Linked DNA regions of Struthio camelus. The protein of the gene in region 3 interacts with the protein of the main gene of each other region in a pairwise test. Links are inferred from orthologs where the notes say so. Each region holds a gene or a part of one and is shown on either strand. Other genes may lie near its edges.

Evidence for each region.
Region 1: the proteins of EMILIN1 (region 3) and PLAC9 interact in binary tests that used the Homo sapiens proteins (3 or more experiments, as listed by UniProt). The two-hybrid records come from large-scale screens. The link is inferred for Struthio camelus from reciprocal best matches to the Homo sapiens genes EMILIN1 and PLAC9.
Region 2: the proteins of EMILIN1 (region 3) and MTMR9 interact in binary tests that used the Homo sapiens proteins (3 or more experiments, as listed by UniProt). The link is inferred for Struthio camelus from reciprocal best matches to the Homo sapiens genes EMILIN1 and MTMR9.

The regions. Positions count from the first base shown.
Region 1 is NC_090948.1:30,382,601-30,386,345, forward strand, and holds the start of PLAC9 (placenta-specific protein 9), read right to left. Parts: upstream 2,673-3,745; 5' UTR 2,265-2,672; coding exon 2,207-2,264; intron 1-2,206.
Region 2 is NC_090944.1:10,873,075-10,876,819, reverse strand, and holds the start of MTMR9 (myotubularin-related protein 9), read right to left. Parts: upstream 2,278-3,745; 5' UTR 2,185-2,277; intron 1,882-2,184; exon of another isoform or gene 1,375-1,881; 5' UTR 1,248-1,374; coding exon 1,063-1,247; intron 1-1,062. UniProt on the Homo sapiens protein: Acts as an adapter for myotubularin-related phosphatases. Increases lipid phosphatase MTMR6 catalytic activity, specifically towards phosphatidylinositol 3,5-bisphosphate and MTMR6 binding affinity for phosphorylated phosphatidylinositols.
Region 3 is NC_090944.1:900,953-904,697, forward strand, and holds the start of EMILIN1 (EMILIN-1), read right to left. Parts: upstream 2,729-3,745; 5' UTR 2,589-2,728; coding exon 2,416-2,588; intron 1-2,415. UniProt on the Homo sapiens protein: Involved in elastic and collagen fibers formation. It is required for EFEMP2 deposition into the extracellular matrix, and collagen network assembly and cross-linking via protein-lysine 6-oxidase/LOX activity.

The DNA.
Region 1 (3,745 bases), on a different chromosome or scaffold from region 3:
GTACAGATCTACATAGCTTAGGACATTGCATGTGAATATCAGAGGATCCAGAATATCCTGAACAGGCATAATATGTTAGCTGGATGAAGCAAAAACATTAACTTACAATTGGTTTACTTATAATTGAAACCAAATGACGCTTCTGCTGTTTAAAAACAAATCACATTCTAAAGACTGTATTGAGCAGCAACACATGCCTTAGCTCTCCTGTTGCTCTCCCCCCACTGTGTTTGGTTTGCTCATCTAAGAGGAGCATGTCAGAGGGGCCCAGGTTGTTCCCCTGATTGCCAGGACTCCAGCTCACCTCTGTGCCGTGCAAAAACATCCAACACAAACTCTGCTGTTGCGAAGCTGTACCTTTGGGAAAAATTTGCCTGGAACATTTGGTAAGAATGGAAAGCTGTTTAAATGGGGCAGGGTTTGAATGCTCCAGTACCCCAGGCCATGTTTTACGCTACGTTTTAGCAGCAGCAGCACCCCACAAACTAACCCGGCAACAAGAACAAACAATAAAGCAGTGCAACCGGTTAAGCAGGAGGATGCGATTGTGTCCCAAATGGCTCCCGTTCCAGCATCTCACCCTTACTGAGATGTCTGAAGGTTGAGCTCGATGGATATAAGATTGTTCATATTAATGGCTGACTGAAAACATAATTCTTCTTTGGCCAAGCCCAAAATATTTTTATTCAAGAGGAACTGTTGCCAAATAGAAAAACAGGAAGAGACGGTGAATGAGTCACTGGGGGAGTGGGGGTGGGGAGGATCTGTATTAAAATCAAAAGTTAGATTCCCCACCTCAAAAGTAGCAAAGAGCAAGTGGGGGATGCCTATGTCAACCAGCCAGGATACTCAGCTGGCTAGGACAGAAACAAGTTCAGATCCTCCCTCTCCCTGACTTAAAGAAAGGATATGGACCATGGAGTCTCACCTTCCAAGGAAACGCTCTGCTCATTGAGGCAGGGAGTGTTTGGATGCTCCAGTGAAACAGTGAATATATTTTCTTAACTAGGTAGCTGCCACCTGGCATAATACTGGGTGGGTCCCTACTTTAGTTGTTATTCACATAATGTTTTATTTGGTTAGGTTTCACCGGAATTTACTAATGATCTGCGTTTAAACAAAATCATACTTCTGGGGAATAAACAAAAACGTTCTTCCAGCGTTCTTTGTACGTTGCAAAATTTGCAGGTGGATAATGAGTATTTATAGAGTGAAAACATACAGTGCCTGTGCTTGGATTGCTGTTTCAGTTCATCACTGATAGGTATTAACAAAGCCAGTTGCATGGGACAGAGAGGGAGAAAGCAAGAGCGACCGGAGCCTGGGCAACAGAATGGACTAGTGGTTTTCAGGAAATGTTTTGGTGGTAATGGAAACTTACCACCCTGCACTGACATGCAAACATTACGTGTTGTGCAGAAGTAAGAGCAGAGGGAAAATAATGCTCAGCCTCAGCTAGTAGAAAATGCACAATACAAACACGCAGCAAACCAGGTTTGTGATTACATGGGGACTATAAACCCTTGAACTAGCCAAACTGAAAATAGCTTTCAGTCACACCATCAACAACAATATGATCAGAGGTTAACCTAGCACTAGATTCTTTGTTAACGGCAGTAAAATTCAGATGCCAGCTTATCAGATTTTGTGTATTTATACTGCTTGTCGCCAAGGGATTTGAGTAAAGAGTTATGGTCCTGGAAATCTCAGGAATAAGTAAACCAAAAGCAGAAGATAAAAATATACAATGCTGTTACCAGCAAATCTAAAAAGAAGGGTTTGAATATAGGAGGACCTCTCTTTATTCACCTTGAACATTGTTCTCAGTTCTGAGTGGATTAGTGTGCATCTTATTAAACTTCCCAGTAACAGTGTTATGGGAATGCAGGGCACTGGATGCAGTATATGAATGTGGTTTTAAATTTCTGCAAATAAAGTGATAGTGTCTCCCATGAGTAGTGGAAAATCTCTAGGGAAGCACTATGCCTCCGGGATGGACTTTAATAGCAGAAAATGGGAGTTTTTCCCGGTTAAAAAACATTGTTTGCACAGAATTTTGGAACATGCCTGTGTCATCTTCAGATCAAATCTATCAAATAAGCAGTTCTTAACTCCCCTCCCGCCCCCCGCCAAATTCCACGCAAATTCTTTCACCAGAAGATCAGATACGCTGCAGTTTCTGCTTTACAAGCTTGGAGTCACTTACCTAAAAGACCTTGCTTCTGCAGGACTAAAGTAAAAGCCAGCATGCAAACGAAAAGCATGGTTTCAAACTCTCCAAGCTCTGTTGTAGTCCTTGTGGAGAGTGCTGCAGACTCCCTCCTCGGCTTTACATAGACTCCTCAGTCCAGTCGTTTGTGCTGAGGTTTAGCCAGAGAGTTAGGAGGAAATATTCCCAGGCTGAGCCAAGATTCTTAAGCTGTTCTCTTTTTCTTTCCTCCTTTTAAAAAACACCCTTCATGCTCCACAAAAAATCCAGTTACCCAGGCAAGCTGGCTGTGGTCCAAGCTCCCCAAAGTTTTTACCCTTCTATTTATTTATACTGAGTGCAAATGGAATGTGCTGAAGAGTTTTGAGTCCTGTGAATACAGCAAGTGGGGCAAGAAAAGGAAGCAAGAGAGGACAAAGAGGGTGCTGGGTGTTTCTGAAATCCCTGTAGAATTTCATCTAGCACGGGGAAAGCAGGAACACTGGAAAACACAGTATCTTGAGGGCTGCGATCTTGCAGAGTTTTTTAATTATGTATTCATTTTTAAAACCACAGAAAATTTGCTTTCTGACAGGTGAAAATTCTGCTGGACTAAGTGAGGCTACATTGTGGGAGGTGGTAACTGTGAAGCCTCGTCTTTGGAAAGTACCTTAGGATCCTCTGTGAGCCTTCTGAGCTCTTTTTCGTTCAGAAGGTGTTTGAACGGGGTGAGTTGTCATAACATCGTGTGCAAAAAACAGTAGTGCTAATGTTATCCTGACAGTGTGTTTGATTTTTAGTAAGATCTTACTTAAATATTACATTTTTGTCTTGTGGGTTCATGGATACTGACTGGATCAGTGGCAGTGTTTGGCATTAGGAGTTGTGTGGAGACGAGCTCCAATCCCAAGTCTGCCACAGATTCCTTGTAAAGCTGTGGTCAGGTCCCTCCCAGTTTACAGGTTTCTAGCTTCTACTTATGAAAGAAAATTAATAATCCTTTACCTCATCTGAAAAAAATAAAAAAGTTAATGGCTGTCTAGTGTTTTATGGCGGTTGAGCAAGACTTATTTCTGTGCAAATGCTTATAATTTAGCAAAGGAAAATCATCATAGAGTAAGTTAGGAATAAATTGCAAAGCTTATATACAACAAAGGACTCCATGTGCAAGAGGGAGCCTGTGGAAATCCTGACTGAGTTTGCAAAATTAATATTTTTCTTGGATGTCTATGGATGACTTCTAGGGATCTTTGACCTTAGCAGAAATGTTCACAAAGGTCTATTGGATTCGTAATGCTGCCTTTGAAATATATGGGAACAAGACCACCAGCACTGTGCACTGTCTGATTAATCCAGACTCCTTCCAGGCAAAACTGCACAATATCTAGAATTGCCTGTTGTTATAACGTTCTGGAGTTCCTCTGATCTCCTTTGAGTTATGTGCTCCTCAGATGAGGAATGTACAGGTGTGTCTGAACTTTGCTCACTGTCTTACAGATGTGAAAACTTGAGCAGACTCAGAATATGTTTTGTTCAGAGTTGTTTACAAATGTTAGG
Region 2 (3,745 bases), about 10 Mb from region 3:
CAGCTGTGGCTAGTTTAGTATAGGCAGTGAAGAGGACAACACCAAACCGCCCTGATAACTGAGCGGCGTAGGATGGCAATAGATTTTCAGAGCCTCCCACCATTCTGCTCCTCTCCTCCCTCTGGCTAAGTGGCATGATTTTTCAGAAACACTAAGAGAAAACTGCAGCACAGGAACAAACTTAATCAGTGTCTGATACTTTTACTATTCTTAGATTCTGAGGAAGCCTGATAATTTAACCACTGCTGCTAGATTTTTCTGTCTTACTGCCAAGGAGGAAATCTATTCTTCCAAACTACTTTAAAGGGCAAGGAAAACAGGGTTTGACTTTGTAGCAAAAACGGTTATGACCAAACTGAGCAAAGGATTAAGATAAACAAGCAGAATACAGTCAGCAGAGATGACATCAGCAACCCAGGAAAGGCTTGGAAGATTCATCGCTGAAGCCCCTGTGATACAAGGGGATGGGCAAGAATAGTGTGACACTCAAGTGCAGCAGTCACAACTCACGTTAGCCACATCACTCTGACAAGGTGCATGCTGCTAAAGTGTTATTGATTTTCATAAGCAGTATCAACCTCTTACTCCTACAATCTAGCAGTAGGGCTGATCTGGGACCGAGAAGATCTCATGGCAGAGCCAGAAGTCTGCTCCAATTTTGCTGTGTGACCCTCAGCAAATCACTTAATGAGAACTTCAGCTTCCACCTCTGACAAACTGTGATAATGATGCATCCTTTATAAAGTGTTTTAAGAGCTGCTGATGAAATACATTGTACTATTAACTAAAAATACTATTGATACAAGAAATTTAAACACAGAAGACATGACAGAAGGAAAAAAAATCTTAAGATGCAACAGTCACATAACAGTTTCCAAACTGAATGAGAATCAGTTAGTCCATGACAATATTCCACCTCACGCTCTAGTTGACTAGGCTACTCTCCTCTCTAGACCTGGATTTTGGGAAGCTGCAGTGTGAACCAGTCCTGACAACCACTTTTCATCCCATAATAAAATGAACAATTGGGTACAGGAAGACAGAGAGAATTAGGACACATACCTTTTTTCAATAGAGTCAATATTGGAGTGCAGCAGCCACAGTTCCTCAGCGTCATCTTGGCGCCGCGAAGAAAGAATGAGGTGATGGCCAGTCAAACACAGAGTCCCCTCCACGGCAGGGTAGAAAGGGCGGTGCAGTACGACATTATCAACTCGAGGGGTCTTGATTAGCTCCGCAAACTCCATGCTTCCTAGTGAAGATAACAGGCCTGGGGAGGCCTTTGCCTAAAGCTAGCTGGGAGAGGAAGCACCAGCAGGGCCAGGATGGAGAATGTGGGACAATCCTGGGACAGTATGTAACTGGCAGACAGCCCTGTAAGATCCCAAAGACAGTCAGGCTCATAACCCAAGGGGTGAGCCCAGCTCCCGCGCTGGGGACAGCCACCCCTATCCCTATCACAGCTGGGGGATGATGCAAAGATTAGATGGGAGAAGAGGAAGGAAAGGAGGGAGGTGGCGAGGCAGAAGGGAGAGAGCAGCTAAGGAGGAGAAATGTCAGAGCAGGGCAACTAGGTGAGGAGGGGGCGCTAGAGATGAGGGGTGGGTGTCACAACCCCCCGTTTCAGGGAGGGAAGAGCTCAGCTCCGGCACAAGCCCCTGACTCAAGGGGATCCGGGGGGGGGGGGGGGGGTGCCCAGCACCTGCCGGAGGACGGGCTGAGGCGCTCAGAGGAGCCCTCTCGATGCCTGACAGAGGGAGACGCAGGAAATGGCGGCGCAGGGGGCCCCTCGGTGCCTGAGGGGAGCCCGGGGGGGCTGCAGGCGGCGGTGAGGCGAACCTGGGGGCGGTTAGGGGGGCCCCGGAGGCGGTTGGCCGGGGCGGGGGGGAACCCCTCGGTGCCCGGCTAAAGGGGCCCAGCCCCAGGGGCGCCGAGGAGGCGGGGGCGGGGGCAGCCGCGGCCCGGCCGCCGCCAGGACCCCGGGCCCCGCCGCTCGGAGGAGGCGCCGGCCGAACGGCAACAGCCGGAAACTGGCGGCTCCTACCCCGGATGTTACGAATCCGCCGTGGCTCCCACGTGATATTCCCCCCTCCCAACCACCACCCTCCGAACCAATCCCCGCCCGCTCTTCTCCTGTGAGGGCGGAACAGGCTCAGAAGCCGGCTTGGGGCGGCCTGCCCTTACCGGAAGGAGCGCTCTTCCAAAGGTGCCGGCGCAGCCCGCGGCCGCGAAACAATCATTCCACCCCCCCCCCCCTTCCCTAAGTCCTTTAAGAAAGATAGGCGGAGGCCGGAGAAGGGGAGGAGCCTCGAGGGGGGAGCCAATAGGAACGGCGGCAGGGGAAGGGGCGTGGCTTCAGGCCAGAGGGGTGGGTGAGGGGGCGGAGCCATGGGCCAGGCCAGGCCTGGTGGAGAGGCAGGGCCGAGGGGGCGGGGCAGAGGGGGCGGGGCCGAGAGGGGGCGGGGCTTTTTGCTGTGTGAGGCCTAAAATTTTAGGCTTTGGCAGGGATCCAGGCCCAGACGCCTCCTTGTTGTTCCTCGTTTGGATTTGCTGCATGTGCTGGGCGGGAATGACGGCAGGGACGGGTTGTTTTAAGGTGTTTTTCGTCAATGAAGCGCCGCGGCAGCACGTGCCGCGTGTGGCTTCAGTCGCCGAGTTTGGGCGCAGGAGTTGGCTTGAATAAAACATTTATATGGCAGAGTTAGGGTCTCTAGTGATTTTGGGATTTTTTGGAGTGAGCCGCTCTCTCACTCCAAAAAAAAAAAAAAAAGGTAAAAGAAAAAATAAATTAGCTAGCCCAAGGTCCAGGGAACAGGTTGGCATGGGGTCGTTCACTAGTGGAGGGGTTTCACTGAAAAAAAGTAAGTTCGCAACATTTGAAACCAAATCCAACGTGGGTAACAGAAATCCAGCATCTACACGGAGGGTATTAGTGGGATTGAGAAGGGCTATAAACCCTTGTGCTTCTAAGCAAAAGTCAACTTGTAAGCGGTGGTAAGAAAACGGAAGAGCCTTCATTTTGACAGCAAATGCCAGATATCTCTAGAAGAGGGGCTCTTCCAGCTGTGCTGCATACGGCTGACACTGGCTGCCCTCCTAAAAGGCCTGCTGGACTACCTGGGTGGGCATGTGCTTTTGATGCACAACAACAAGTCTTGCTCACCTTGCAGAAATTCAGATTCCTTATCCCCACCCGGTTTTATCCCTGAAGAACAAAACGTTGAGGTAGTGTCAGGCAGACGTTTCTAGAGCTCCCTTTGGAAGAGATCAATACCCATTTGTTACCATCCTACCGTGATTACTTTGGCGGTGCAAATTCAAGGTTGTTCAGGCCCTGCCTGATGGAAACAGCCTGGATCTGTTCAGATGCAAACAGGCAGCTTTGATGAGAGCTCATTCTAGGCACATGAGAAAGATTGCATTGTTGTTCAGACGGAATGATTTGAATTTTTATATTCACCCCTGATGGTGAGTTCATTCAGAATTTGTCCGAGTTGTTATGACTTTATTTGCATGTCTCATTAATACTGGCGGTTTAGGTGATTTCAATAGCTGAGAATGATTTGAAAGTCTCATTAATGATGTTTTCTTCATGTAAATATATGCAAAGGTTCGTAATAAGGAAGCTTGGTTCTCTCCTTACAGTAGTTGCACTGATCTAAATCGTCAACTGCTCCAAAAGAGAAGAGTGGGCTTTCCTAAGCCTGGAGCTACCAGGGGATGGGAGTCCCACATATAATGTAGA
Region 3 (3,745 bases):
GCCGGGGCCCTTTGATCACCCTGGGCATGGCGGGGGCACGGCGGGGGCACGGCGGGGGCACGGTGGGAGCACAGCGGGGGCAGAGCAGGGGCACAGTGGGGGGCACGGCAGGGGCACAGTAAGGTGCACAGCGGGGTGCACGGTGGGGGAACGGTGGGGCACACAGCGCGGGCACGGCAAGGGGCATGGTGGGTGCACAGCGGGGGCATGGTGGGGGGCACAGCGGGGGCACGGCAAGGGGGCATGGCGGGGGCACAGTAGGGTGCACAGCGGGGGCATGGCAGGGGCACAGTGGGTGCACGGTGGGGGGCACAGCGGGGGCACGGCAAGGGGCACGGTGGGTGCACAGTGGGGGGCACGGCGGGGAGCACAGCGGGGCGCACAGCGGGGGCACGGCGGGGGCAATGCAGGGGGCACGGCGGGGGGGCACAGCTGGGGCACGGTAGGGTGCACGGCGGGGGCACAGCGGGGGCACGGTGGGGGCACAGCGGGGGGGCACGGCAGGGGTACGGCGGGGGCACGGCGGGGGGGCACGGCGGGGGGCACGGCGGGGGCACAGCAGGGTGCACCGCAGGGGGGCATGACAGGGTGCACGGCGGGGGCATGGCGGGGGGGCATGGCAGGGTGCATGGCGGGGGCACAGCGGGGGTACGGCGGGGGGGCGTGGCAGGGTGCACGGTGGGGGCACAGTAGGGTGCACAGCGGGGGCACAGTGGGGGTATGGCAGGGTGCACGGCGGGGGCACGGCGGGGGCATGGCGGGGGGGCACGGCGGGGGAACGGCAGGGGCACGGCAGGGGCACGGCGGGGGGGCACAGCAGGGTGCACGGCGGGGGCACGGCGGGGGCACAGCAGGGTGCACGGCGGGGGGCACAGCAGGGTGCACGGTGGGGGCACGGCGGGGGCACAGCAGGGGCACGGCGGGGGGGTACGGCAGGGGCACGGCGGACCGGGAGCCCCGCCGGGGACGGCCACCCCGCCGCGTGGCTGCGAGGGGAAGCCGGGCGCGGGGCCGTGGGGTGCTGGGGGATGCCCGGGCTGCGCGCCCCACGGCCTGCCCCACTGCCGCCCCGGCTGCAACCGCAGGGGCCTCGGCCAAACCCTGTGCTGCGAGCCCGGCCGAGGGGGCCGGGGCCGGGGAGCGGGGCGTCCCGGCGCCCCCCCGCCGGCCCGTTCCCGTCAGCCCGGCTGGTTCCCCCTCAGGCCCCCGGCCGGATTCCAGCTCCTTCCCCGGGGGCCTCCGGGAATTCCTGCGGCGGACGCCCCCTCCCTCCCTCCCTCGCCCGCCGGCCCCCCGGCCCGGCGCCCCGCGGCGAGCGGGGCAGCCGTGGGGCGGGCTGCGGGGTCCGGGCAGCCCTCCACCCCCCCGCCCCAGCCCTCGGGGCGCCCCCCACTCCAAGCCCCTCCATGCACACACCTTTCCTTAAAACTCCTCCTGCCCAGACCCCCCCCCCGTCCCCCCACAATGTGCACCCCGTCCCCAACCCCCCCCCGCCCAGTGCACCCTCGAGGCTGGGCTCCTCCTCGTGCACCCCGTTCCCCAAACCCCGCCACGTGCACCCCGTCCCCGACCCCCCTCCATGTGCACCCCGTCCCCATCTCCCACCCGGTGCACCCTCGAGGCTGGGCTCCTCCTCGTGCACCCCGTCCCTGACGCCCCATGTGCACCCCTCCCCAGCCCCCAGTGCACCCCGTCCCCAGCCCCCCTGCATGCCCCCCGCTCTCAGGACCCCCCTGACACCCACCCGCCCTACCGCCTGCGGCCCCAGCCCCTCCACGCTTGGCAGCCGGGGTGGCAGCTCGGCTCGCAGCCCCGTGTCGGCACCGGGGCCCCCGCCGGGCCCAGCTCAGCCCCACGCCATGCCGCCCGGGCCCCAGGGCCCCCAGCACCCCGCGGGTGGCCCCAGGCACGGGTCCTGCACCCTGGCCCTGCTGGCGGGGCCCTGAGCAGGACGCAGCACGTGCCGGCGTCCGGCTGGTCCCGGGCACCCCACGGTGTTGGGGCAGGCGACGCCGCCCGGACGCCTGGGCTCGCCTCCCTGGCGTAGTGTGGCATGGCGTGGCGCTGCATGGCACGGCACGGTGCAGGATGGCATGCCACGGTGCAGCACGGCACGGCACGCTGCAGCACAGCACTGCACGGCGCGGTGCAGCACGGCACGGCACGATGCAGCATGGCACTGCATGGCACGGTGCAGCACGGCACGGCATGGTGCAGCATGGCACTGCATGGCACGGTGCAGCACGGCACGGCACGATGTGGCACGGCACGATGCAGCACGGCGCAGCACGGCACGGCGCAGGGCGCGGCGCAGCACGGCACGATGCAGCACGGCACGATGCAGCACGGCGCAGCACGGCACCATGCAGCGCGGCACGGCGCAGCGTGGCACAGCGTGGCGGTCGCGTCTCCTACCTGTGCCGGCTGGCGGCCCGGGCGCCGCCGTGGGCCGCGGCGGGGCCCTGCGGGGCCGTGGCCTGGACGGGGCTCAGCGGGGCGGCCCCCCCGGTGTAGAGGCTGTACCTGGGGGGGAAGTTGGCGGCCAGGGCCTGGGCGGCCAGGAGGCACGGCCAGAGCCAGGGGGCCATGCTGGCCAGCGCGGACGGCACGGCGGGCGCAGCCCTGCTCAGGAGCGCATGGCGCGTCCCGTCGCGGCTCCGTCCCTCCCGGCTGGGCTCTGCCCTCCCCTCGGCCGCGCCTCGGCCGGCCCCTCGCCGCCAGAGCCGCCCCGGCGCTGCCCGCCCGCCCGACGGGGTCCCCGGGGCCCCCCGCTTCCTGCCCGCCGCGGCCCCCTCCCCGCCCCGCCCGCGCCGCCCCCGCCTCTGCCCCGGCCTGGGCTGCCCCCCCCCCCCCCCCCCCCCCCGGCCGCCGCCGCCGCCGCCGCCGCGCACATCTGCTTCTCGTTAGGCCGGGACGCCAGCGAGGACGGCGAAGGAGGGACGGGGAAAGCCAGAGAGGCCGGGCAGGGGGCCAGGGCTGCACAGCCGCCAGCGCGGCCGCTGCTACTGCGCGGGGTCCCTGGCACCCCTTGCTGCACCCCCGGCTCCTGCCCGGCCCCCGGCTCCTGCCCGGCCCCCGGCTCCTGCACGGCCCCCGGCTCCTGCACAGCACCCGGCTCCTGCACAGCACCCTGCTCCTGCCCAGCACCCGGCTCCTGCACAGCACCCTGCTCCTGCACGGCCCCCGGCTCCTGCACGGCCCCCGGCTCCTGCCCGGCACCCTGCTCCTGCACAGCACCCTGCTCCTGCCCAGCACCCTGCTCCTGCCCAGCACCCTGCTCCTGCACGGCCCCCTGCTCCTGCACGGCCCCCTGCTCCTGCACGGCCCCCGGCTCCTGCCCAGCACCCTGCTCCTGCCCGGCCCCCTGCTCCTGCACGGCCCCCGGCTCCTGCACGGCCCCCTGCTCCTGCCCAGCACCCTGCTCCTGCCCGGCCCCCGGCTCCTGCACGGCCCCCTGCTCCTGCACGGCCCCCGGCTCCTGCCCGGCCCCCGGCTCCTGCACGGCCCCCTGCTCCTGCCCAGCACCCTGCTCCTGCACAGCACCCTGCTCCTGCACAGCACCCTGCTCCTGCACGGCCCCCGGCTCCTGCACGGCCCCCTGCTCCTGCACGGCCCCCTGCTCCTGCACAGCACCCTGCTCCTGCACGGCCCCCTGCTCCTGCCCAGCACCCTGCTCCTGCACGGCCCCCTGCTCCTGCCCAGCACCCTGCTCCTGCCCGGCCCCCGGCTCCTGCACGGCCCCCTG